3 linked regions of the Notamacropus eugenii genome follow. The protein of the gene in region 3 binds, or shares a complex with, the protein of the main gene of each other region. Links are inferred from orthologs where the notes say so. Each region holds a gene or a part of one and is shown on either strand. Other genes may lie near its edges. The genes, in order: JARID2, EZH1 and EED.

Region 1 (10,880 bases), on a different chromosome or scaffold from region 3:
ACTCCACATTCCACTAAAAGCTACTTACTTTGTATAAACTATGTTTAACAGACTGAGTGGTGCTAAATAAAGCTTTGATTTCTCCAGAGCACTGATACTAGTACCAGGATTAGAACTATGCACCTAAGAAATTCTAAGGTTTCACATTCTGAATTGTCAATAACTAAACTAAGGTGATTTTAAGCAGACCTTCCCAAAACTTTTTATTTCAGGGGGGAAAAATCTGCCCATTTTATACTATAGGAACTACAAATACAGTACTTTAAATTCACCTTGTTACTCATTCTTTATTCAAGTAAGTAGGTCAACACTCCAACTCATACAGGTCAAGGGCAAACCTCAGCCTGGATATGGATTTCTCTCTTTTTAAATGTCTTATTTCAGAGCATATGGGGAAAAGAAAATCTCTCTTATTTTATATGGAAAAATGTAGTTAGTCCTACTACTCCAAAAGATCTTTCTGGAGTTGGAAAACTGAAATAACCTTTAGGACAGAGTGTACACCAGAGTTAACACTGATGTTATTCCTAAAACACTACGAAAAGAGCTAAAAACCCAGGCCTTAGCCCTGCAGGACTTACTGGTTTAACATACTTTATAAGTGTAACTTCAGACAGTCTCACAAAGTAACAACTCTTTTTGACTTGGTAAGCAAGGGAATGACTATTGGAACTCAGAAGTCAATTATTAGCCTAAGTAAAGGCAGGCCTAGCTAATAACCTTGATCAGGCTGTACAGATCTGAGTTTTAATATTATATACTTGAAGCTTTTTTTCTGATTGCTTTTATTGGTTGCAAAACTTCATTTTCCTTTGATTTCAGTAACCCACTTTAGGCTTTTTCACATCCAAGTATTCACTAGTCTCTCTCTCTTTGAAGACCTGGCAGAAAGAATATACATAGCAAAAAGCCTAACCTTAAGAACTGTACAATCACAAGTTGGGGCAGCTAGGTGGTGCAGTGGACAGAGCAGGAGTCAGAAGGACCTGAGTTCAAATCTCCCCTCAGACACTTGACACTCACTAGCTGTGTGACCTTGGGCAAGTCACTTAACCCCAACTGCCTCATCCTGGGTCATCTCCAGTCACTGGATTCAGATGGCTCCAGAGGAGAAGTGAGGCTGGTGACCTGCACAGCCCTCCCTCACTCCAAACAAAGTCAAGTGCAGGTCATGTCATTATTTCTCTGATGGCATGGTCTTCTTTGGCAACGAAGAACGGACACACACAACAGTCACAAGTTCTCTGTGCCTCAGTTTCCCCCGTTTGGAAAATGAATGAAAATTAAATATAACCTGACAAGGCACTAAGGAAGAAATGGGACTTTAACGTCGGAAGGCTTCTTCGTTTAAACACAGGCTTGCGCAGGTGAGTAGCTGTGTGACAGATGACTGAATCTCTGAGCAAGTAAGTCACTAAGAACTCTCTGCACCACTTTCCTCGCCTGTAAAATGGAGATGACAGTATCTCACAAGGTGTGTTGTAAGGGTCTGACGGCATACTGTATGGAAAGCTCCTGCTGTGTAAGTGAGCTATTATTATTTCTAGACAACGAGAGGCGGGCAGAATGAGAGAAAGCAACCGACTCCACAAAGCCCAACTGCCCGAATCAAGAACTGGCTAGTTTAGAAACCGATCTGGCACTTTCCTGTAAGAAGGGGCAGCTACCCTAGTGGGACACAAGCGCTCACTTAAAGCTCATTCCGGTTACGAAGCGCACAGGACGGAGGCAGGGGACCCCAAGGCGGACGGCGGTACCCCAACCCTCCTGTGCTGGAACTGTCCAGACAGCCGGTCACCTCTTTGTCGTCCTCCACGTAGATGAGGGCATGGGAAGCATCTCTCCCGGCTGAAAGATGCGGCCTCGGGAGGAGAGCCCGGCACCACTCCAGTTCAGGACGGCCACGCGCGGGAGGAGTGCCCTCGGAACGAGCCACCCCAAAGTCGGGCGATCGTTCTGGCCCACGGGCGTGGGAGACCTTCCAGGGCTGCTCCACAAGGAGGGGAGGGCACCCGCGGGTGGGGGGTCTGGAACGGGGCCCCTCCCCACCGGCCCACACATCAGTGCCCCCAGACTCAGCGAGGACGAGAGGCTCCCTGGGCCCAAGTGTCCAGGCTTTTTTTAAACAAACAAGTGCACCCCATCGGGGGCCCGGGATGGAGATGACTAATCCGGTTCTGCAGGAAGGAGGACTCTCCTCCGCACCCCACCCCCACCCCCGCTCGCAGGTCGGCGGCTCTCCAGGTGCCCTCACCTGGGGGCACCCTAGGTGGCATCCCCGCCCCGCCCCCAACACACGCCCACGCCGCGCGGGGCCCGCACCTCCACTCCGCTCACGTCTCCCCCCACCCCCCCCCACGCCCCGCTCTCGGTCCAGCCCCCGACGCGCCGGGAACCTCCCGCCTTACTTTTTAACGTCACCGGGAAAGAGGGAGGGAGAGATTCCACCCAAGCCCTTCCCTTTGTGACGTCACAATGACAACAGAACGCGGCCCAGGCCCGGAGTGATTACGATCCGGGAGGGGGAGGGGGTGCGGAGGCGGGGGGGCGGGGGGGGCCCGCACTGACGTTTCGCCGGCTTTAACCTGTTGCTCGCTAGCACGTATGCACGACGGTCTAGAGGCCGGGCGGCGAGCGAGGTCCGGCGGCCGCCCGCGGCCCGAGGGCCGCCATGCTCGAATCTGCGTGCGTGTCGGTTACTCGCTGCAGTTGTGCGTGAGCTCGGCCCCCTCCCCCAAGCCGCATCCGCCCCCCTCCCCCACCCTCGACCCCTCCTCCCCACCAGAAACCGTGCCCGCGGCGGCGCGCTCGCCCGCCGTCACCTCGTCGGCTCGCGGCTTCCACTCCCTTCCCCCACCCCCCCACCGCCGGCCTTCCACCCGGGAAGGAGTCGGAGCCTCCCCACGAGCCAGAAATCCGCCCCCTATAGGCGGTCCAGAAAACCGTCCCCTCCAGAGCCACACGCCCCCTCCTCTCCCCTACAGAGCCACACATGCTCTCCCACGGAGGGAGGCACACGGGCAGCCCGGGCGATGGGAGCCGGCGGGGCCCCCGAGAGCAGCACCTCCGGCTGGGCCGTGAGGACAGCGCGGGAGCGGGGCTCACACATTGTTCACGGTGAACCAACAAAAACCCACCCCGTCGAACTTAGCGGGGGCCGGGGGGGTCTTCCCTCCCGTCTAAGTTCTTCCCTTTCTCTTGGCTCGGTAAATGCATCCGAGGCCGGCAGCAGCCCAGGACGGGGCGGAGATGTCCCCACACCAGGCTGGGTCTCCGGGCAGTTTTATACAAGCCAGAGTTTTAAACCAGTCTTCTCCATTCTCCCAGTCCTCTGCAATGCGGATGTATCTTTAATTCGTAAATTCTTTAGAGAACAGCTTTCAGTTGCTCTGGATTCTTCCCCCTCGCCCTCCCTGCACACTTAAGTTTAAGACGTCCAACTCTAGAGAGAAGTCATTTGGCTTCTCCTGAAATGAAGTCCCTTTTCAAAAAGGTAAGTGTCCCGAAGGTCACCCCACACACCCCGAGAAAAAAGAAAATGGAAAACACGATTTGGGCGTCTCGGTCGGAAACTTTGTTAAAACCCTGCACCCCTTGGAATGCTGATGTGGTCTTTTAAAAATGGGTTCTCTCATCTTCAGCATGCAGATAAATCACCAATCGCTCGAGAGCCTCTCTGGCTAATCCCCCCAGGTCTCCCTTCTTCCCTCCCTCTCCCCCCCACTTAAAAAAGAAGCCACCACACACAAAAACAAAAACACTCCCCATGCCAATCAAAACGTAGCTGTACCAACCACATATTGAACTATTCCCACACGTTTCAATCTTGGGAGATTACCCAATTACGGAAGCCCAGTTAAAACAGTGAAATTATTTATAGTTACATACATCCACATGCGCACACAAGCACTAAAGTCTCACACATTCTCCCCTAAAACTGGAAATCATGAATTTTGAAACAAAACTAATCCACTGCCCCATTATTAAAGTCCATCCCAACAAATGCATTCACCGTAACACGATTCCCAACTGGTTTCTACTGCGAACCAGATAAGCAAAACGACCACATACATTAAATTGGATGTGCCAGTGCAAAGGGACGAGATCGCCATCATCGGACACTCCATTTCAACTTAAAGGGCTTACGGCACAGTCCACAGTTTTTAAAAAAATAATAATAAGCTGGCTCATTTGTATGCCAAGTGCCATAGACAAACCCGCTGGAGAATGCAGTTGGGTTACGTTACTGCAAGCCCTGAAGCTCTGCCGAAATGCTTTTGCCTTTCATCTGAAACTAGAGGATGATTGTGTCATCTGAGGTCAATTTCACTTGGGGTATCTCTACACCGATGTGTTTTTGTAAACCAGACTGGACAGACAAGACTTCGCTTGAAAAATCCCCCTCTCAAAAAAGAAAGAAACAGCCTCATAGGACCCTGTATGTAAAACCTTTTCAGCAGCAGAATTATCTATAAACTTGACATTCACAGCCATTGCTTCAAACTGCAAGTCAAAGGATGGGTTGTTAAGAACACTTACGTATTTCTTCTGAATGATATTCCTCTTGGGTCTTTCCTTGCTCATTCTGAGATCCAAATGCTGATTGCAAAAGGGGACAATTGCTTCATGAATTTAAGCCGTCAGAAATTTGCAAAAAAATATCCTGGTGGTTTTTATTGTTGTTGGTGATGGTTGTAATCCGACTTTTCTTCCTCTTCCCCCAAAGCTAGATTCGCCTCTAAATAAATCCGAAATTGGGAAGGAAAAAAAAAGCCAAAGACGAAGCAGACAAAAAAAAATTCACTTTAGTAAAACACTCATAATGGAAAATTTCCCCCGAAACACACATACACAAAAAAAAAAACCGACGCCCTTCACTCCCCCTTTTTTCCTCCAAAAACTACATCAGCAAAACGTGAAGGTCCTTAGTGTCTGATCTGTAGTTACATCTTGGAAAAGGAAAGGGAAAGATAAATAAAAATGTTGGAAGTCACGTTTATGCTGCAGCAGCAGTGAGACCAGAAGAGTCAACTCCAGCAGCGGCGGCGGCAGAGGCAGCACAGCCCCACAGCAAGGGCTGCACCGCGTCTCTTTTTTCCAAGCACCCTAACCAATGAGAGTCGCTCTCCAGCCCAACTTTAAATGGACTCTGCTTTTATACAAGTTAGGGATCCTCAAGCAATTGCCCATCGGCACCCCAGCCGAAAACTTCTTCAGCAAGACTACGGAACAGACGCCATCCACAGCGCTGAAAGCCTCCGGAGGAAGACCGAAGAGACCCCTGGCCCTGCAGCCAAGAGGTCGGGGGGAACTCTACAAGTAGCTTCTAGACAACCCGCAAGGCTCTTCTCCGGCCCCGAACCCAGGTGTGTAATTGACAGATACTCCCTCGCTCACTGCATGGCACGCTCGGTCGCTCCACCTTCCCCCCTCCACTCCCCTTCCCTCCCCTCCCCTTCCCCAGCTTGTCTCTAGCGCTGTGAAGCTCACGCTAGAGCCGCTGCCACGGCTCCGGCATCTACCTGCAGCCGGGCAGCCCACCGCGCGTGCACCGAGCCCCCCGCCCCAGGGGAGAGCCGCTTGTTACCGGGGCGCATTAGAATCGTCCCCTTGATCTCCTGGAAGTTGTAGTCCCCCGACTACAAAATGGCTATGGCCGTGGGGGTAGAGAACTACGATTCCCAGCTTGCTCCGCGCGTCACCGCCACTCTCCGTCTCCCTCGCCCTCCCTTCCCCCTTCTCTCCTCTTTTCCCCCTCCCCGCAACCCTTGCCAACAAACGCTTGGACGTGTCCCGCGTGCGACAGCGCCCGAGGCTGGCTCCCGATTGGCCCGAAGAGCGTGTGGTCCGCGAGCGAGGAACTCCCCAATCTCCACTCCGGCCTCCCCCCTCCCATTTCCTCCTCTCTCACGCGATGGCTTCCCCCCCAACCCCCCCAGCCCCGCCGCCCTACCCCCACCCCGGGGCGCGAGGCGCCGCCTGTAAGAGCTCGAGGAATCGTGCTGCTCGGCCCTGCGCACCTGGCCTGCAGCCGGGGAGGGGCGGAGGGTAGGGAGGGCTCCCCCCTCTCTCCTTGGAAAGAGCTGCGGAGGGTGGAGGGCATGGGGAGCCCGTACCGGAGGGGGAGGGGGGGAAAACTGGGCCAGACACCAGGAGGAATCCTCGCTGCTAACGAGTTGATCGGCGGCGCCTGCTGCTTGGGCTCGCGAGCCGGTGTCACTCCAGGACACCGTGCGTGGCTTATTTGTGCAGAACTTGCTCAGAATCCGTCTGCAGGGTAGCCTGAGGTCACCTCTGCCTTCTCACGTACCCCGGCGTCCCCACAGCCCCGCACCCTGCCTGGCTGCACACAGGCACACACACAACACAGCCCACGGCCTGCGAATGCGAGCTCCCGGCCAGCGGGGCGGTTGTAATCACCCGCTTGCAATCCGGGCTCCCCGCTCGTGCACGCCGTATCCCCGGGGGGTCCCACTGTCATTTCATCGAAGGTGGTAGCGCTTCCCCCGGAGCCTGGAGGGTGCCTGCTCTGGGAGTGGGGGCAGAGTGAAGAGGCTTGTCCCTTCTGCGAAGGGCCGACGTGCATTTGGGCTGTGCGTTGGCCCCTTGGCTCCTGGGCTGGGCACCCCAGCAAGCAGTCCGTGGGCCCACGGAGCCCCCAGCCCTGGCCGCGCCGCAGCCCCGGGCGTGCCCCGCCTGCCCCTCGTACCTTCGGCGGCTCCCGGGTGCGGGCGGGCCCGGGTTACCAGCCACATTTAGCCTTCTCTAACAAGTTTGTCAGGGACCAGATGTCGAGACGGCATTGTTTAACTTTGTGGTAGCTTCAGTCTTGCCTGAGCCATGCTTTAAAGTCTCTAAGGCGGAGAAGGAAAAACAAACTCCAGGGAAAATGATTTCTGTAATAAATGAGAGGTGATATCGTGTCTGTTCTCAAGCTTGTTCCCAAAGTCACATTTTTGTCCTCCAGTTTGAATACTGACTTTAAAAGATGGAGAGTTTAGGGACCTTGTGAACCTCTGAGACGATTAATTAGGATTTTTGTAAATGTTAAGGGGTTTTTTTTTTTGTTCAGAAGTTTTAAAAAAATTTAACCCGAAGTGATAGAATTATATTTGTTTCCATACGATTTTTGATGACTTTTAGCATATTCTTAACCCTAATACTTGCGCTAATCTATGATCTCACTCATGGAAACCCTGAATCCATTTACTCAGATGATAACCTTTCTGCGCCTTCTCTGATTCCTATTCCCATAGATCCTTCACAGAAGATCTCTGCATTTTGTGGGTAGTAATGCAGTGTTCCAGCAGTCCACTTGTTATTCCTTAGTCTGGACGTATGACCCACCTTCTTTTCTGACCATACATTTTCTCCATATTGTGCCGTGGCTACTTCTTGGACGTAGGTCATCGCTGGAAATAATCTGCAGGTTGATCACCTCCTGGAGGCTGGTCTGGTAGATGATGAAATGTTTGGCCACAATAACCCTAATATATTAGGCTTTTTGTAATTGTGAAATAAATTGTAAAGATTTGGAATCATAGGATTTAAAGCTGGAAACTGACCTGAGAGGACACCTCCCCATCCATTTTACAGATTAGGAAGCTAAGGCTCCATCACATTCCTGTTCATTTCAGAGAAAGGTAAATCCTAGAACATGTGTGTGTTATTGTTTTCAATTGTGATCGCTGTTTCAATAAAGTTAGTTTCCTTTGTAATCCTACTTATTTTGTGATTTTTAAAGTACTGTTCTGAGAAGGAATAAGTAGTCTTCCCCAAGCAACCAAATGGGTTCATGAAACAAAAAAGTTGAACAGATAAGTCACACCTATCAGACTGGCTAACGTGATAAAACAGGAAAATGATACATGTTGGAGAAAATGTGGGAGAGTTGGAACACTACTTCATTGTTGGTGGAGCTGTGAGCTGATCCAGCCATTCTGGAGAGCAATTTGAAACTATGCCCAAAGGGCTACAAAAATGTGCATACCCTTTGACTCAGCAATACCACTTCTAGGGCTGTATCCCAAAAAAGATCATAAAGATGGAAAAAGGACCCACACGTACAAAAATATTTATAGCAGCTCTTTATGTGGTGGCCAAGAACTACAAATCAAGGGAATGCCCATCAATTGGGGAATGGCTGAACAAATTGTGGTGTATGAATGTAACAGAATGCTATTGTGCTATGAGAAATGACGAATAGAAACATTTCAGAAAGGCCTGGAAGGACTTACATGAACTGATGCTGAGTGAAATGAACAAAGCCAGGAGAACGTTATACACAGTAGCAACCACAGTGTTCAAGGATTGTTTCTGATAGACTTAGCCCTTCACAGCAATGCAAGGAAGTAAAACATTTCCAAAGGACTCCATGCAAAATATCATCCACATCCAGAGAAAGAACTATAAAGTCAGAATGCAGAATGAAGCAGACTGTTTTCTCTTTTGTTATGTTTTGTTTTGGTTTGCTTTTTCTCATGGTTTCTCCCATTCGTTTTAATTCTTCTGTGCAACATGACTAATATGAAAATGCATTTAGTAAGAATGTATGTGTAGAACCCATATAAGATTGCATGCCATCTTGAGGAACAAAGGGGAAGGGAAGAGGAGAATATTTAAAACTTATGGAAGTTATTGTTGAAAACTGAAAACATTAATTTTTTTAAAAAAATTTTTTTAAAAGAACAGATAAGTCCCAGAAATGGCAGAAAGACTTAAATTCAGATCTTCCTGACTCCAAACCACTCTGAAACACTACCTCTTGTTTTCACATTACATGTTAATAATCAAATGGGGGGGGGAGACAAGGAGCCCTAAGTAATATGGAACTGCGAACTCCAATTTAATATTATCATTACTGTTACTACCCAGTTTTCTAAAGTGCTTCATGATTGTATCAATTATTACCACCACCCCTATAAAAATTCAGTTTAATTGCACAAGCTTTCATTAAGAACAGACAAGGCACTGAGCACATAAAGATTGAAAGATTGAATATGACATCATCCCTGTCCTCCAGGAATACCTGAAGTTTCTATGGCCCCTCAATGTTTATAAAGCACTTTACATACATCATCTCATTTGAGTCCCAGAACAACACATAAGGTAAGTACTGCAGATGTCATTATCCCTGTTTTACAGAAGGGGAAACTGAGACTCAAAAAGATTGAATGACTCATCCAAGGTCACACAGCCAGTAAGTATCTGAGGTGCCGACACACTAATAGTCCTGAGGAATTTGGAGTTGGTTAGACTTTTATATTGCCGTTGTTCCTAGAAAGGGAATGTCAACTGACTGCCTTCATATACGCTCCATTACGAAATCCTGTCATCTCTACCACCAAAACATCTCATGTATAGTGGGTTTTCTTCCCTGACAGCAGCTATCCTAGTACCGACCCTCATCTTCTCACACCTGCACTATTTATTGTAATAATCTGCTTCCTGTTCTCCCTGACTTGTCTCATCCCACCCCAATCCATCCTCCCCTCGACAATCAAAGTCATCTTCCTAAAGTGTAGACCTGACTAGGGTCCCTACTACCTCCAGGATCAAACAGAAAATGCTCTTTGGCTTTTAAAACACTTCATAACATGGCACCTTCCTTCCACCTTTCCAGTCTTCTTCTACTTAAGAAGTATGCATCCCCTGCATGTACTCTACAATCCACTGGCATTGCCTTCTGGCTGTACCCTGAACAAGACCCTCCGTATCCCTACTCCGATTTCTACTGGTGTTCCCTGTACCTGGAATGCTCTCCCTCCTCACCTCCTCCGGGATTCCCCACTTTCCTTCAAGTAGCAAATCAGCTCCAGTCCTGCCTTCCTCAAGAGGCTTGTGGCAGCCTCCATTAATGCTAGTGTCTTTCTTCTCAGATGCCAACAACTTACCATACACATGTGTGTATTATATATACACACACATGTATACATGTATATCACGTGTAGTCTCTGTGTTATACAGTCATGCATGTTACATATCTTTGTGTATGCACAGGTGTTTATGTGCATGCATGTATGCCATTTATCTTATTGTATGTACACAGTCACGTTATATACATTTGTGCTATGTATCTTGTATTCGATGTTTGTGTGTTATATGTGTTTATCTTATGTGTGCATGGTTGATTGTTTTATATGTACATATTGTGGGTACATGAATGTTTTATGTTCTGCATGCATGCATGTATGTATATAGTTTGTGTGTGCATAGTTGTTTTCATGTTTTACGTATATATACATATAGCTTCAGCATATGTAGATATTTGCACGTTATGTGTATATATGTGTATGGATCTTTTGATATCTTGTATGTACATTGCCATTTATATGTTATATATGTATATAAATAGCTTATGCGTACATCATTGTTTTATCACATATAACTATATGTACGTGTATGTGTAGATATCTTGTGTGTGCCTGGGTTACTTGCATGCTGTATACATGTGTGTGGATATGTATGTCTTGTATGTAGTTTTTTGAATGAGCATCTTAATGGCAGAGATTGTTTTTGCCTTTATTTGTATCAGGAGCATTTCACACAGTACCTGGCACATCATAAGAGCCAAATAAATTCTTCTTGACTTGACTTAGCTATTGATCAACTCTTCCTTGAAATTCCCAGTTACTCCTTCTCCTGCACGCCTGAGCCACTTATGTGTTAGTCTCCTCTGATGAGAAGGTAAGCTCCCTGAGGGCAAAAGGAATTTGAAAGAAGAACATCCAGAAAAGGGAGAATGAAACTGGGGGTTCTGCCCCCATTTCTGTCATTTGGCTAACCCTGTACACCATCTACTGAGCTCACTCACTTCTTGGCCACTGAAGTAACTTATTTGGTCTTTTCTACATTGCTAACAACACCAGATTCCAGCATAT
Region 2 (3,600 bases), on a different chromosome or scaffold from region 3:
AGTCAGGCTGAGCTGCCTTCCAGCTGTGGAAGAAACCAGCCCCACATCAGGTTGCTGAAGGAAAAGATTCTGGGAAGACATGAGAGGAGTTCTTTTTCTCCATTATGTCCCTGTTCTCAGCTTGCTACTCTAGAGACTTCAGGGGAAGTTTTCCTTGGGTGGGATTCAGGATTCTTTCTCGGTTGAGCTGAGTTATTTTTCTCCTAATGGAACAGCTCCCTCATTTTGTATTGTCTGGTATTTATTTTCCCATATATACCTTCTCTAATTTGTTTTGATACTGATTGGGATAAATGGAATTTTTTTTTTGCCATTTGCTATATGTGTTCATTGTATGGAATTGGTATTAGCTGAGCAAGGGGTCGTCAGCCTGGGGACTACCCTCCCCCCCATGACTCCCTCTCCCTGAGGAGAGCAGAGGGGTGGCCGGTGGTCGGTCCCAACCTCCGGCTTCCCCTTCTAGCAGTAATGAAAATCTCCCTTGGAGAAGGGGTGGGGTGGGGAGTAAACGGTAGAGATGGGTAATGTCTTTCCAACCACACACAAGGGTCGCCTTGGATAACCCCTGGCCTCCCCACAAGGGGCCCCTCTACCCAAGTGGGACCCTCTAGTCATATCTGCCCTGGAGCATTTATGAAGCTCTTACTGCATGCAAAGCACAGAAAAGGAAGAAGCCCGTCCCTGCTCTCAAGAGCGCACATGCTACTATCATATCTCGTGTACTGGGTGAAAGCGGGTCTCGGCTACGGGGCACACCTTCGTACCCGGCAGGACCTGCCCATCCTGCTTCCGGCGGTCCAGCCTCTCAAGGCGAGAGTGGGGCTCACGCGCCCGCGCCAGACACCCGAGGTTCGTAAGCACAAAATGAGCACGCGACGAGGAACGCCCGCGCCCAAAAAGAGGCCAGCGCAACCAGCCCCGCATGCGCAGGCGCAGACGATCCTGAGCAAGCGCAGGAAGGAGGGCTGCGCAGGGGGCGGGGCGAGGAGGCTAGTAGGACGCATGCGTCCTGACCACTGGGTTCGCCAGCCTAGGATGGAAGATGAGTGAGTAAACAAGTCCCGGGCCGGGGAGCGGGACTCTGCATGGGGGGGAGCTTGTCGGATGGGACCGAGGGGTCGGGGGTGAAGAGGGGGTAGGGACGTGGGAAGAGGGGGGCAGCCTGCCTGACCGCGTTTGTGGGGAGGCCCCTGGTTCCGGGCTGTGAGGGAGGAAGGAAGATCGCGCGGGTGGGAAGGGGAAAATTCCCTTGGGCTCGAGAGGAGGAGGTGTCTGCCGTCTGGGAGCACCCCCCCGTGGGGGATGGGCCAGGGGAGGCGGGGCCGCGCGAGGTGGGAGGGGGAGGAGAGGTCTGAGGAGGACGGAGGAGAGGTGTGGAGAGTTCACGGAGGGGGATGGGCGGGGCGCGCCAGGTGCGCGGAGGTGTTACAGCCCCAGGGCATCCCCTTGGGAGGGGGGTGGCGTCTGGGAGGGTTGCCGTGGGTTTGGCAGGGAGGGGGTAACTTTAGGAGAAAATCCCTGTACAGCGAGCGAGAGGGGAAAAGTGGGGTGTATGGGGAAACGGGGTTCTTTTAGGGGATAAGGCAGTTTTCTCTGAGGGGCATTCCACTCTGCAGGTTGGGGTGCGTAACAGTAAAAGAGCGTATGCTGGGAATGGACGTACATGTTTAGGCTTTGAATGAAAGTCGGCCTGAAATTCTTAAAGGGTTTGTGTGAGTGTACGAACCCCTTTCTCTCCGTTTGAATGACGACCACCTGATTGTTGGTCCTGCTTATCTCTCGCCAGGATCCTGGGAGTTAGGCGCTGTTATTATCCCCATTATTAAGTGGTTTGCCCAGGGTCATACAGCTGGGGCCAGATTTAAACTCAGGTTTTCCTGATCGCAGAGCCAGTCCTCTAGCTTAACCGGTCTCGCTCAACAAATTTTACGTGCTCTGTGCCAGGTGAGAAGCAGTTTGGCATATAGAGCAGCAGCCTTGGTGTCAGAAAGGCTTGGAGAAGCCCTGCCTCTGACAGTTTGCTGGCTGGGTCATCCTGTTATGCACAAGGCAATATGCTAGTTACTGGCAATCTACATATCCTTATCACCTCAAGACACTAGTACAACAACTTTGTATCCGGAAGAGTAGCAGATTTACATTGGTGGAAGGATCTTTTGTATTGTGTGACTTGACTGTACAAATGAAATAATAACTGCAAATGAAATTATAGGTGTGGATCTTTCCTGTCACCTACACCTACGCGTAAGTATACAAAGCACTCTTCTAGGCATTGAAGATACAAAGACATTAAATGAAAAACAATTCTTGTTCTCAAGAAGCTTCTATTATATAAGGCATACAACATGTAAATAAATAAGTAGGGGAGGACCTTGAATAATTCTCAGGCTAGTATCTTTCCTCTGCACAGCTATCAATATAATCATCCTAAAGAACAGATCATTCTGCTCAAAAATGTTCCCGATACCTCTTGGATAAAATGTACACCCTTAAACCTTATGTTTAATAGCGACTACTATCTGACTTGTCTACTTTTCCAACCACATTTCATCTACTCTACATTAGAGACAAATTGGGCTATTTTTACCTGCTTCTCAAACTCAACATTTCATCTTCTGCTATTGTGTATTCCCACAAACTGTTCCCAGTTCCTGGATATTGATTGGTCCTATACTGTGTCTCTCGGAAGCATCATCTTCCTTCCTTCATATGCAACCATATGAGGTTGCATAGCCTATGTAGAAACCTTACCTGATCTCCCCAAATTATGATTCTTTCCTTCTTTAAATTATGTTGAGTATATATTGTATCCCTTACTAGAATGTTGACTGAGAGCAGGACTGTTTTGCTTTTTTCTTTATAGTCAGTAAACATATTAAGTGCCTATTGTGAGTTGGCACTGTGTATCTTTGGAGATACAAAGAAAAGTTATAACAGGGTCCTTAGCATCAGGTAGTAATTATTGACATAGAAGATATATATACACTGTAACTGCAAGGTAATCCCAGAAGGAAGATACTGAGGTCCCAGAAAGATTTCCTGAAGAAGATGGTATTTGAGTTGAATTTTGAAGGAAGTCAAGAGACAGAGATGAGGAGGGAGAGCATTCCAGACATGGAGCTTCTTCCATGGACAAGGAGGCACAGATTTGGAGGTGGCCTGTTGTCTTTAAGGAATAGCAAATAGGCCAATGTAGCTGAATTCCAGAATGCTTGGAGAAGAGCAGAGTTAAAAAAAAAAACAAAAACTGGCAAAATAGAAAGGGACCAGATTGTGAAGGGCTTTAAGTGCCAAATAGAGGATTTTATTGGGGGGAGAGGGGTGGTTACATGGTCAAACATACACTTTGAGAAAAATCATTTTGGCGGCTGCTTGGAGGATGAGTTGTAATGTGGAGGAACTTGAGACAGCAAAACCTACCAGAAAGCTGTTGTACTAGTGTGTCTTGAGGTGATACGGATACGTACATTTCCAGCAACTAGCACATTGCATTGTGCAGAACAGGAACCTAATGTTTATTAAAGTGGAAGGGTAGGTGAGCCCCTTCCTCAGAGAACTCAGGGTCTACGGTAATTGATTGTAATGGTATGTCCCCATCCC
Region 3 (10,880 bases):
AGCCACTTCAGATAAGGAAAATTCTAAGATCTTAAAAAGAAAACAAAACTTCTACATTTATGACTGAAACCTACACTGAGCACTCCTGGTGTAGTTTTTTCAAACTAGTTACCAGGAATGGGTGAATTTATTTTATTTTTTAATAATTAATTTGTTTTCCATTTTCAACAATCACTTCTGTAAGTTTAAAATTTTCTCCCCTCCCTTCTCAAGATGGCATTCAATCTTATATAGGTTCTACACATACATTCTTATTAAACACATTTTCACATTTAGTCATGTTACATAGAAGAATTAAAACAAATGAGAGAAACTAGTAGACAAACCAAACCAAAACATAACAAAAGAGAAAATAGTCTGTTTCATTCTGAGTTCTGTCTCTATAGTTCTTTCTCTGGATATGGATGGCATTTTGTATCAAAAGTCCTTTGGAAATGTTTTAGGTCCTTGCATTGTTGTGAAGGGCTAAGTTTACCAGACACAGTCCTCATACACTGTGGCTCTTACTATGTATAATGTTCTAGTTCTGCTCACTTCACTCAGTATCAGTTCATATAAATCTTTCCAGGTTCTTCTGAAGTCCTCCTGTTTATCATTTCTTATAGCACAATAGTATTCCATTACATTCATGTACCACATCTTGTTCAGTCATTCCCCAACTGATGGACATCTCCTCAATTTCCAGTTTTTGGTCACCACAAAAAGAGCTGCTATAAATATTTTTGCACATGTGGTGGGTGAATGGGTGAATTTAGTATCAGACATGAGAATTATAGAATTCCCAAAAGTCAGGTCACCAAGGTAAGCAGTTCTTATAATCTCTTAACTTCTCTTTCAAGTTCTACTTGAAGGTTGATTCAAGGTTTACAGAAACTGTTTGTGATGGGAGTTTGTGTGTTTATTTTGAGAGAAGAAAAAGAATAACAAGAAAAATTGAAAAACTCTGATGACATTATGGAAACATTCAAAACTAAGTGAAATCTATATTCCATTATAGAATCTGACTCAAAGAGGCCTTGAGAAGCAAACTACTCCACATTCTAGAATATAATTAAGTCTCCCTGGGGAGATACCTACCTTTCCCTCAATGTACAGAGGCAGCTTCCTAACTGTCCTTGATAATATAGTTCAGTGGCTCAAAAATCTTACAATCATGAATTCCTCAAAATGTCTAAGAGTTTGTTCTTTGTGATACAATTTAAGCTAATTTTGTTTCATACTTTCTCAGTGGAATCAAACTATTAGTTCTAAACTAAAACCATCAAAAGAAATCCCCCCTAGGGTTATTTCCTAAATTAGTGATTCCCAAAGCTACTTTTGTGACACAACAATGTTTCCCCAACAGAATGGGTATCATGAACTATTCAAAATAAAATTAATTTCAACTCAATTATGCCATACAATGCTTTTTTTAAATACTGCAACTCTTACAACATTAAATACATAGTGTTTCAATTATGAATACCCTAATCCAAGAAGAAAAAAATTAGATAAATGAGGTTTATTTTTTAAAAGGGCATAAAACATGAAATTTTGAAGTTAGGTACATGAAAGAAATTAAATTCTTCCCTGAGCATTTCTCTCTTCTTTCACACATTTAAAACCTACCACACTAGCCCTTAAACTGAGGCATGGACCCTGAGGTGGAAGGGCCTGCAACAGCAAGGGCTGTATGTCATTAATGACTATGTAATAAATAAGCAAACATACCTTTTCTAGACTGAATAAATTATACTTCTCACACATGTTTTTCTACTATTTTTCAAACGTATGATGATGCTGTTGTAAAAATACAAATACATTTAAACTGTCACTGAACTCATACATAATGATGAATACTACCTATCTTCTAGTACAACTACTACATATAAAGGCAGGTCCCCAAAACTCAAAAAGATTAGAAACCACTGAGAAACTGAATTTGTAGGCAATTACTTTACATTTTGGCTAAAATGTCCTGTCATCAGTAGCCTGGCAATTTTTTTCCTTTTTTGTATTTCTCAAAATTCATTCTTCTTCCACTAATAAGTAAAAATCATCGAATCACAGAGCTAGAGATTGAATGGATCTCAAAAGTATTTAGTTTTAAGATGCTGCTCAGTCACTATCTTCCACATGAAGCCTTTCCTGATCTCCTCAATTGCAAGTCCCTCCCTCCCAGACTATCCTGTATTTAACTACTTTTCCTAACTTTACGTTTACACTGTATATATTTTATATGTGCTTGTCCCCCTAAGTAGAATGAATTGTGTCATTTTTGTACTTGTATCTCCAAGCACAGTGGGGGCCTAGCACTTGGGAGGCTTTTAATAAATACTTGCTGCTGATTGATGATCCACTCCCTTCATTTTATGATGAGGAAACTGAAGCCCAAGGAAACTGTGACTCATCCAAGGTCACACAGGAAACAGAGAGAAAGGACCTATATGATCTTTCCACTATACCACAGTAATCAACCTAATATCTTTTCTTTCTCTATAAGGCAGTAGTCAACTTAATTATTTTGATTTATTTCTCTGATCTCTTTCCAGTGGAAAAATGCATAGATGAGATAAAAAGAAACATTTTATATTCATTAAGCACCTAACATACATATGCATATATGTACCTGTGTTCATGTGTATATGTGTACACACCCACACCCACACACAAGGGGACCATGTGCCAGGTATTAGGGATAAAATGACACTAGGCTTCAAATAACTTACTTTCTGCCAAATGGAAACAACAGTTACATAGAAAAGTAAATATAAATATACATGAAGCCATTTTAGGATGGGGACAGAGTGAATCAGGAAAGGTCTCTTGAAAGAGGTGGTGCTTGGGCTGAGAGTTAATGGGAGTTATGGGTTACAAGAGGTAGACTTTAGCTGAAAGAGCACCATCCAGGTGTGAAGCACAAGTCTATGCAAAGTGTGGACAAGACATGAATGTTAGATTCAAGGAAACATCAACTAGATTGGCACAGCTGGAATAGAGAGCACTTGAGGGAGGTTGGAGGTGGGGGGTTATGTAATCAAACTGGATGGAAAGGTTAGATGCAGATTCAAAAAAAGCTTTAAATGTTAAACAGAATGGTTTGTATTTGATCCCAGAGGCAATAAGAAACTACTGAAACTTTTATTAGAAAATGATGTGGTCAGACCTGTACTTCACATTCATATAGAATATAAGCTTCATATCTGTGAATTCATTTTATACTCCTAATGAAACATTTAACAAGTACTTAGCAGGTGGCCAAGGAGGAAAAGAAATAAAATAATAGCAGTATAAGAAATAGTCTCCACTATTTTTTTTTTAACAATAGCACATGCATGACTGTCCATATATTCTCATTTCACAGATGAAAACAGAATGATTGTCTCTAAAACTCATCACTTATTTCCTTAAACTAGAATTAGATCTAGAACCCAATTCTCTTAATTCTTAGTGCCCACTTTCCCCCCCTAAACCAGGTATTATTTTTATTTTGGGGGGATATAATCAAAGTTAAGTGACTTGTCCAGGGTCACACAGCTACTAAGTATCTGAGGTCACATCTGAATTCAGATTTGCTGATTTTGGGGCCAGTGGTCTATCCACTGTGCCAGTTAGCTGCCCTGAATTAGCAGTAGAGAGAGAGAGAGAGAGAGAGAGAGAGAGAGAGAGAGAGAGAGAGAGAGAGAGAGAGAGAGAGAGACAGAGACAGAGAGAGAGACAGAGAGACAGGAAGAAAGAAAGAGAGAACTGCTTCCCCTTCTACTTCCTGTGAGCTCAAAGGTTTTAAAATGACAAAAAATTCCTTGTGGCTAACTTAGTACACTACTCACAAAATACTCATGGATCTATTACCATATATTCAGACCTTTATTTAAAGTTATCAATAAACATTTACAGTACTGAATATTTCATATAAAACTCCAAATAAGCACTGCCATTTCATTAAATAGATTAGGGCTGGTTTTCCATTAAGGCAACTGTCACCATCAGATTTCTACTGGGATATTTCTATCATACCTTTCCACTATTTCTGGCATTTTTTCTTCTTCTTTAATACTTCAACTCAGAATTGTAAAATTATTTTATTTCTACTCTTCCCTCACTCTTCTATTATTCTTTCCCCTAACCTATCTCCCTAACATATAGCTTTTCTTCCATATATACATCTGTTAGGTTTGATTCCAATACTTATAATAACTTCTTTTAAATTAACTCAGTTGAGAATGTTAACATTGTCCTCTTTAAAAAGATCAGGATAAAGCAAAAAAAAGGTCATTAATCTCTTACTAATTAATCACATGTACAACTGGAATATTTCTTAGTCTAAAATAAAGGTAATTATCTGTAAAACACAAGCTTTGCTCTCTCAGCACAGTAGGACAGAGCAGGGAGTGTAGGACTTGGAAGTAGAGAACTTAAGATCTGAGTCCAAGTTTCGCGATGTAAATTTTTCTGTGATCTTGAGAAGTCATTTAATCTCTTCAGCCTGTTTTTTTCATCTGTAAAATAAGAAAATTGTACTAGATGACCTGGAATCCCCTTTTCAACTCTAAATCTATGATTCTCATTTGTCTGATTATCAAGTACATTATGGTACCAGCAATAGAATCTTAACACCACAAAAATCAGTTGCTTTGAAAAACAAACACTAAAATGATTTTGAGACATATTGTAGATAAACTGAATACAAGAATAGAAAGAGGGCCTATCCTGTGATTTTCCTGCCACAGGTAAATATCCAGCTGAGAAAACTCCATTTACCAAAGCAGGTTGACACAATCACAGAAATTAAGTAACATGCCTAGGGTCACCCAGACAATGTCACAGACCCAGGAATTGAACCAAGGTCTTCTTGGCATTGAGGCTGGCTCTCTATCCCACTATATCATATTGCCTCTGTCATAAGAAGTCTGGAGAACAAATCATTTACCCCCCGATTAAGTTTTGGTGTGCTAATCCAAATGTTAAGTTTTGTGGCTTCTTAGAGACCCCAACCACCTATTTCTTTCAGTGATCCTCTGGAGGTTATAGATTTCTATTACACAGTATTCCTCACTACTCTTATTTAAAAGATTCTTCTTTCTCTTTAGAATGAGGAGTGGAAAGAGGGATGGACCTGGATTTAAATCTCAGTTCTGCCACTTAACATGTATAACCTCAAGCAAATCATTCCCTTCTTCATGGCCTCAGTTTCCTCATCTGTGAAAAGGATTAGATTGGTTGGATTGGATGGATAGATTGGATAGATTGCTGGATTAGATGACCTCCAAGGATCCTTCAAGAAACTAATTTATTAATTTATTTATTTATAAACTAACTTATTAAACACCTAATATGTGCCAGGCACTGTGCTATTTGCTGGGATACAGAAGTAATAATTAAAATCTGTGCTCTCAAGGTGCTTACAATCTAGCTATGTAAGATGTGTCTATCCATGCATGAATGTAAGCATACGCATTATATATGTATGCGTGTATATATATATATACACGAGTAAAAATGGGATGAGGTGAAAGGACAAGCAGCTGGGGAAAGGCGCGGGGGTCCCGCTGGTGCTTCAGAAAAGACTTCAGGTAGGAAGCCGAACTTGAGCTGAGCCTTGGAGGAAGGAGAAGAATTCTAAGCCGTAGAGGTGAGAAGGAGGCACATTCAGGCACCGAAGGTACGTCGGCGCAAAGGCAGAGACAGGAGATGGGAGCACGCGCGGAGAAAGTGAACTACATCCACACTGGAAGGGGCGCGTGGGCAGCGCCCCCAACACCGACTCGCTCTCGGTCTGAAGTTTTCCGAAGAGAGCTGAGCCCTTCTACCACCGTCCCCTCTCCCCGGACGCCCTCGTGGGCCAGCCCTACACTTCGTTGGGCCCCAGTGTGTCCCACTAAAACGCTGGCGCTGGAGGGGGGTAGGTGGAGGGCAAAGCTCCGGGGGGCGCACTACCTGTCAAGCGCACGCCGGGCCCCACGCTCCCCTCCGCGGCACCCGAGAGCCGCACGCCCACGCTACATCACCCCGACCGGCTCCCACCCGGGCACTCCGGGCGCTTCCTCCTGCCGGGGTGGGGGGAGGAGGCGACTGGTGACTCAGGTGAGGTGCCCTCCCCCACGACAGAAATATTCCCAAAGAGCCCAGGGGTGGGGGTCGGACACGTCGTCATCGCCTCCCCACCCGGGGGCTCTCCGCGCTTCCCGACGCCCCCCTTTCCGCGGGATGACACTCGTCCCGCCCGGACGGCGGGGCCACGCCGGCACAGGCGCCCACTCACGTTCTCGTCCCCGGACAGGTCCGGGTTGCTGTTCTCGTCGCTGCTCAGCTTCTGCTTCTTGGCCGCAGGCATGTCGCTTCCCGCCGGCGCTGTCGAGACTTCCCTCTCGGACATGTTCCTGCGCCTGCCCCCGGACTCCTGTCGTCGCGGCCGCGGCCTCCGCCACACCGCCGTCAAGCAAGCCCGGCCCGCGCCGGCCGCAAAGCCGCCGCCGCCGCCTCCTCCACCACTGCCGCCTCCTCCGGCCCCCCCACCGTCGCAAACCGCGCCCAGCCGCCGAGGCGGGCGGGCGTGCGGCCCCGCCACACTGCTGAAAAAGGGGCGCGCGCTTGCGCGCGCCCGCCCGCGCGGCCTCCGCTTCCCCTCCCCTCGCGGCTCCCCCCGCCCCTCCGCGGCTCACCCCACTACCCCCACCAACTCCCCCGTCGCCCGCCCGGCTCCGTTCACGCGAAAGGGCGTCGTGGGTCCGCGGGCTTTCAAGAGCTCTTTCCCGCGTGTCCCTCCAGACCCTGGTCTTTCTGCCCCGTTCCTCACCACCACCTCGAAAATGAGTGGCGGGAATGGAAGGGACTCTCCCTCAACCCTTCCGCCTCCCAAAGCCGTTTAAGCAGCAATTGGCCGAAACCCTGGATCCCCTGACGGGTTTCAGGGGACTGAGAGCCGCCGGAATGGACCAGACCATTGGGCCGCCAACGGCGGGGAAGGAGACGAAGAGATGCCTCTCTTCCTGGGAAATGAGGCGAGGGGTCGCAGTCGTGCCTTCGGCACTGAAGTCGTCATATCATTGAGTGTCGAAGGACTATGGCAACCTAACTCCAGATGCTGGAATGGAAGTAAATAACTGGAGGTATTGATACTTTAGGATCCTCCGCCGAAAAAAATGGAAGTTACCTATGAAGGAGCACGCATGCGCGAGGATGTCGTATGATACTGTCTCCGCAGTTGGACTGAGCCCCGCCCATCCCCGCTGGCCCCGCCCTAAAGCTAGTAGCTCCACCTCCTCCTAAACTGCACTGGTTTAGCGAGAGGTGTAGTGATCGTTACCCTGCTGAAGTTGTATCTGGAAAGCACTGGCGCTCCTTGCTGCAGCCTTAGGGAAATCTGCAGGCTCTTATTTGCTTCCTTTCTTTTTGCCTGCTATCACTTGTTTCTTTCATAGTTACCGTTCAAAGAGCTTCACCGGACAGAGCGCTGGGACCGGAGTCCAAAAGACCTGAATTCAAATCCAGCCTCAGACACCTCCCAGCTGTGTGATCCCCGGGCAAGTCGCTTCACCGCTGTGTGCCTCGGTTTCCTCAGCTCTAAAGTGGGGATAATAATAGCACCTGCCTCCCAGGGTGCTTGTAATTGTACAGTGGTGCTGTATAAATACTTATATTAATTATGCTTAGCATGGTACCTGATGGTCTGGAGATAAGAGTCCCTTCTGGAGGCATCAGGAAAACTCACTTTCCTGAGTCGAATCTGGCCTCTGACACCTAACAGCTGTGTAAGACACTTAACCCTGTTTGCCTCAGTATCCTCATTCTTAAAAAGAACTAGAGAAGGAAATGGCAAATTACTCCAGTATCTTTGCAAAGAAAACTCCAAATGGGGCCATGAAAAGTCCAACGACTGAACAACAAAATTGGTTCCTGGCACCATAGTAAGCTCTTACTAAATGCCAATTTCCTTCCTTCCTGATCTGACCCCCAAACCCCTTTTCGAACCTTATTGCATAGATTTCCCTTCCCACAACAAATACTACTAGGTTTGACCAAACTGGCCTTCTTACCCATTCTTTCTTTATATATACCATCCTGCTTTTTTGTTTGTTTGTTTTTGGGGGTAGGGGTGACTTTGAGACTGACTGTTCTCTATGGTTGAAATGCATCCCCTTCTCATCTCCATGTCTTAGAATCACTAGTGTTATTCAAAACTCAGCTCAAGTGCTATTTTCTATGTGAAAATATTCCTTATTCTTTCCCTGCCCCTTGTATCCAATCCTATTGTACTTTGCATCAATTTAGTAATTTTATATCTATATATTACTTCCCCCAACCATACTGTAAGCTTTTGGAGGATAAAGACTGCTTTACTTCATTTTTTGTATCCCTAGGATGTATGTAGTACAGTACTTGTTCCTATTAAGCATATAGAAAATGCTTAATAAATGTTTGTTTATTGATTGAAATGATTACTGCGTTTTCCTTCACCAGTAAAAGCCCTTCAAATCTAGAATGTTACTGTACTTCCTTCTCCCTCTTCAAAACCCTCCCTGAGTCCAGGCTCTCAACTAAGGCCCCATTCTCTCCTTTACATCTCAAAACCTCTTGATGTCATCCCTCAGTCTCTTATACTTTAATTTAGTCTGTAATAATGATGTTACCCTTACACAAGTCCAGTCCCTTTTCCAAATCTCTAGTACTTTGCCCATCTCAACCAATTCTTTTTTTCCCTCTGTACTTCCCTCCATCTCTCCCTTTTTCTGTTTCTCTCTCTCTCTCTCTCTCTTCTTCTTCTTCTTCTTCCTCTCCCTCTCCCTCCATCTTCAGGTTCCTTCTCTGATGCCAACAACCCATGCATGTACCTGTATCACCTTCATCCAGAAAAAGCTTTCCCTAGATGCTACCATTCATTCCTTTAAGCTATCATTTTGATCTCTTTTTCAGCCAAACTCCTAGATTAAAAGCTGTCTATACACACTGCCTTCACTTCCTTTCCTTTCATTCATTCCTCAACCCTTTACAATCTGGTTTCTGACTTCATCACTCAACTGAAGCTGCTCCCTCCAAATTTGCCAAAGTTGCCAAACCTTATGAACTTTTCTCAGTCCCCATCCTTCTTGACCTCTCTGTAGCACTCAACATTTTTGAATACTCTCTCCTCTTGTATACCCTCTCTTCTCTGGATTTCCATGACACTTTTTTTCTTGGTTTTCCTGTCTCTCTGGCTGTTCCTTTTCAGCCTCCTTTGCCGGCTTCTCATCCATATGGCATCCCCCTCCTTCCCTTCTCCCCCTACCCCAGACACCTGTGTTCCTACAAGCTGTCTTGGGCCTTCTCTTTAAAATACATTTTCATTTGATGACCTCATCCTTTGCCATGGGTTTAATGATCATCTCTATGCAAATGACTCTGAGATGTTTATACTTAAATTCAATCTCTCTCTCAAGCTCCAGTCTCACATCCCCATCTGCTTATTGGACATTACAAACTGGATGTCTCAGAGCGATATCTTAGACTCAACATAAGCAAAATCTTCCCTACCATCCCTATCCTGCTTCCTTGTTTCTCTGCCTCTTCTAAGCTTTTACAGCATCTTGCTTTAATCTTTTTACATATTGCCACGTATGAAAGTTATTTTTGAACATGTCTTATCTGTCCTTTGTTTGTAGAGCTCTGACAGGTACCCTGATTAAAAACAATTGATTGAGTTTGTCAAGTGCAGAGTCCTCTGAAGGAAAATAATGGTCCCAGTCTTGATCAGAGAAATTAAAGGAAGACCTCGCAGTTTCAAGGCAGAATTCATATGAGTACGTAATCCAAAGGGCAGGTCAAGAAGCTGAAAAGAGTTTGTATCAACATTTTCAAAGCAGAAAAATCAGTGAGGAATATATAAAGTTTTGTACATAGGTTTTGATTTGGAAGATTTGAAAGAAATTATCTAGTCCAACCCTCCCCTCCTCCATTTTGAAGTAAAGAAACTTAGGCTTACAAAGGTGATATGATTTGCCAAAGACTACTCAGTCATTAGGCAGATATTTGAACTCCTGTCTTCAGATCCCAGATCTAACAGCCTTTCCACTTACCAGGGTATTGTACTACTCTTGAAAAAGATAACGGGCTGATCCTAAGGCATTAGCAGAAGATTGTTGGTGGACAGCCCCTGTACTGTACTGTTATCCTGGTGATATTAGGAGAAAGAGAGGAAGCCATGCACTCCACACGCCCAGTAGGTTTAGGTGGACACCCTGTGGCAAAGGCTATAGCCAAGGAGCTCACAATCTAATGGGGGAGACATCAAGTAAACAGCCAAAAACAAAAAAAAGGCTACATACAGGATAAATTTAAAATAATCAACCGAGGGGCAGCATTAGAATTAAGATAGGGATAGGTTTTCAGTAAAAGGTGAAACTTTTAGTTGGGACTTGAAGGAAACCAGGAGGTAGAATGAGGAGGGAGAACATTCTAGTCATGGGGGACAGCCAGAGAAAATGCCCAGAGATGAGAAAATGAGTCTCTTCTTTGTGAGTCAACATGGAGGCCAGCGTAATTGAATTGAATAGTACACAGAGAGCAGTAAGGTGTAAGAAGACTGAAAAGGTAGGAGGGTACTGGGTTAGGAAGGATTTTGAATGCTAAACAGAGGACTTTATATTTTATTCTGGAGGTGATAGGAAGACAGCAGAGTTTATTGAGTATAACAGGGCAACATAGTTGGACAAGTGCTTTAGGAAATCACATTGGCAGCTAAACAGATGATAGGTTGGACTGGGAAGAGACTTGTAGCAGAGAGAGACTTGTAGCAAAACGCTATTGCAATAGCCTAATTGTGAGACAATAAGGGGCTGCACCAATGTGGTGATAGTATAAAAGGAGAGAGGGAAGTGTACTTGAGAGATGTTGCAAAGGTGAAATCGACAGACCTTGGTCACCAA

Evidence for each region.
Region 1: the proteins of EED (region 3) and JARID2 are in contact, whole or in part, in a cryo-EM structure (PDB 6C23), measured with the Homo sapiens proteins. The link is inferred for Notamacropus eugenii from reciprocal best matches to the Homo sapiens genes EED and JARID2. Residues at the interface, in NP_003788.2 of Homo sapiens: Pro95, Phe97, Tyr148, Arg306, Asn307, Tyr308, Cys324, Asp362, Ile363, Trp364, Tyr365, Arg414, Asp430; in NP_004964.2 of Homo sapiens: Pro109, Gln114, Arg115, Lys116, Phe117.
Region 2: the proteins of EED (region 3) and EZH1 are in contact, whole or in part, in a cryo-EM structure (PDB 7KTP), measured with the Homo sapiens proteins. The link is inferred for Notamacropus eugenii from reciprocal best matches to the Homo sapiens genes EED and EZH1. Residues at the interface, in NP_003788.2 of Homo sapiens: Cys84, Val85, Asn86, Ser87, Leu88, Lys89, Glu90, Asp91, Trp103, His104, Ser105, Lys106, Glu107, Val112, Arg120, Leu123, Tyr124, Gln129, Gly130, Glu131, Ile132, Arg133, Leu134, Leu135, Gln136, Ser137, Tyr138, Val139, Asp140, Tyr154; in NP_001982.2 of Homo sapiens: Gly37, Ala38, Lys39, Leu41, Tyr42, Val43, Asn45, Phe46, Lys48, Val49, Gln50, Lys52, Thr53, Gln54, Leu56, Asn57, Glu59, Trp60, Leu63, Arg64, Val65, Gln66, Pro67, Val68, Gln69, Ser70, Met71, Cys83, Thr84, Ile85.

What each region holds. Positions count from the first base shown.
Region 1 is NC_092875.1:187,483,853-187,494,732, reverse strand, and holds the start of JARID2 (protein Jumonji), read right to left. Parts: upstream 5,377-10,880; 5' UTR 4,585-5,376; coding exon 4,540-4,584; intron 1-4,539.
Region 2 is NC_092873.1:359,238,323-359,241,922, reverse strand, and holds the start of EZH1 (histone-lysine N-methyltransferase EZH1), read left to right. Parts: upstream 1-953; 5' UTR 954-1,042; coding exon 1,043-1,046; intron 1,047-1,635; exon of another isoform or gene 1,636-2,244; intron 2,245-3,600.
Region 3 is NC_092876.1:115,115,078-115,125,957, forward strand, and holds the start of EED (polycomb protein EED), read right to left. Parts: upstream 6,556-10,880; 5' UTR 6,356-6,555; coding exon 6,242-6,355; intron 1-6,241. UniProt on the Homo sapiens protein: Polycomb group (PcG) protein. Component of the PRC2/EED-EZH2 complex, which methylates 'Lys-9' and 'Lys-27' of histone H3, leading to transcriptional repression of the affected target gene.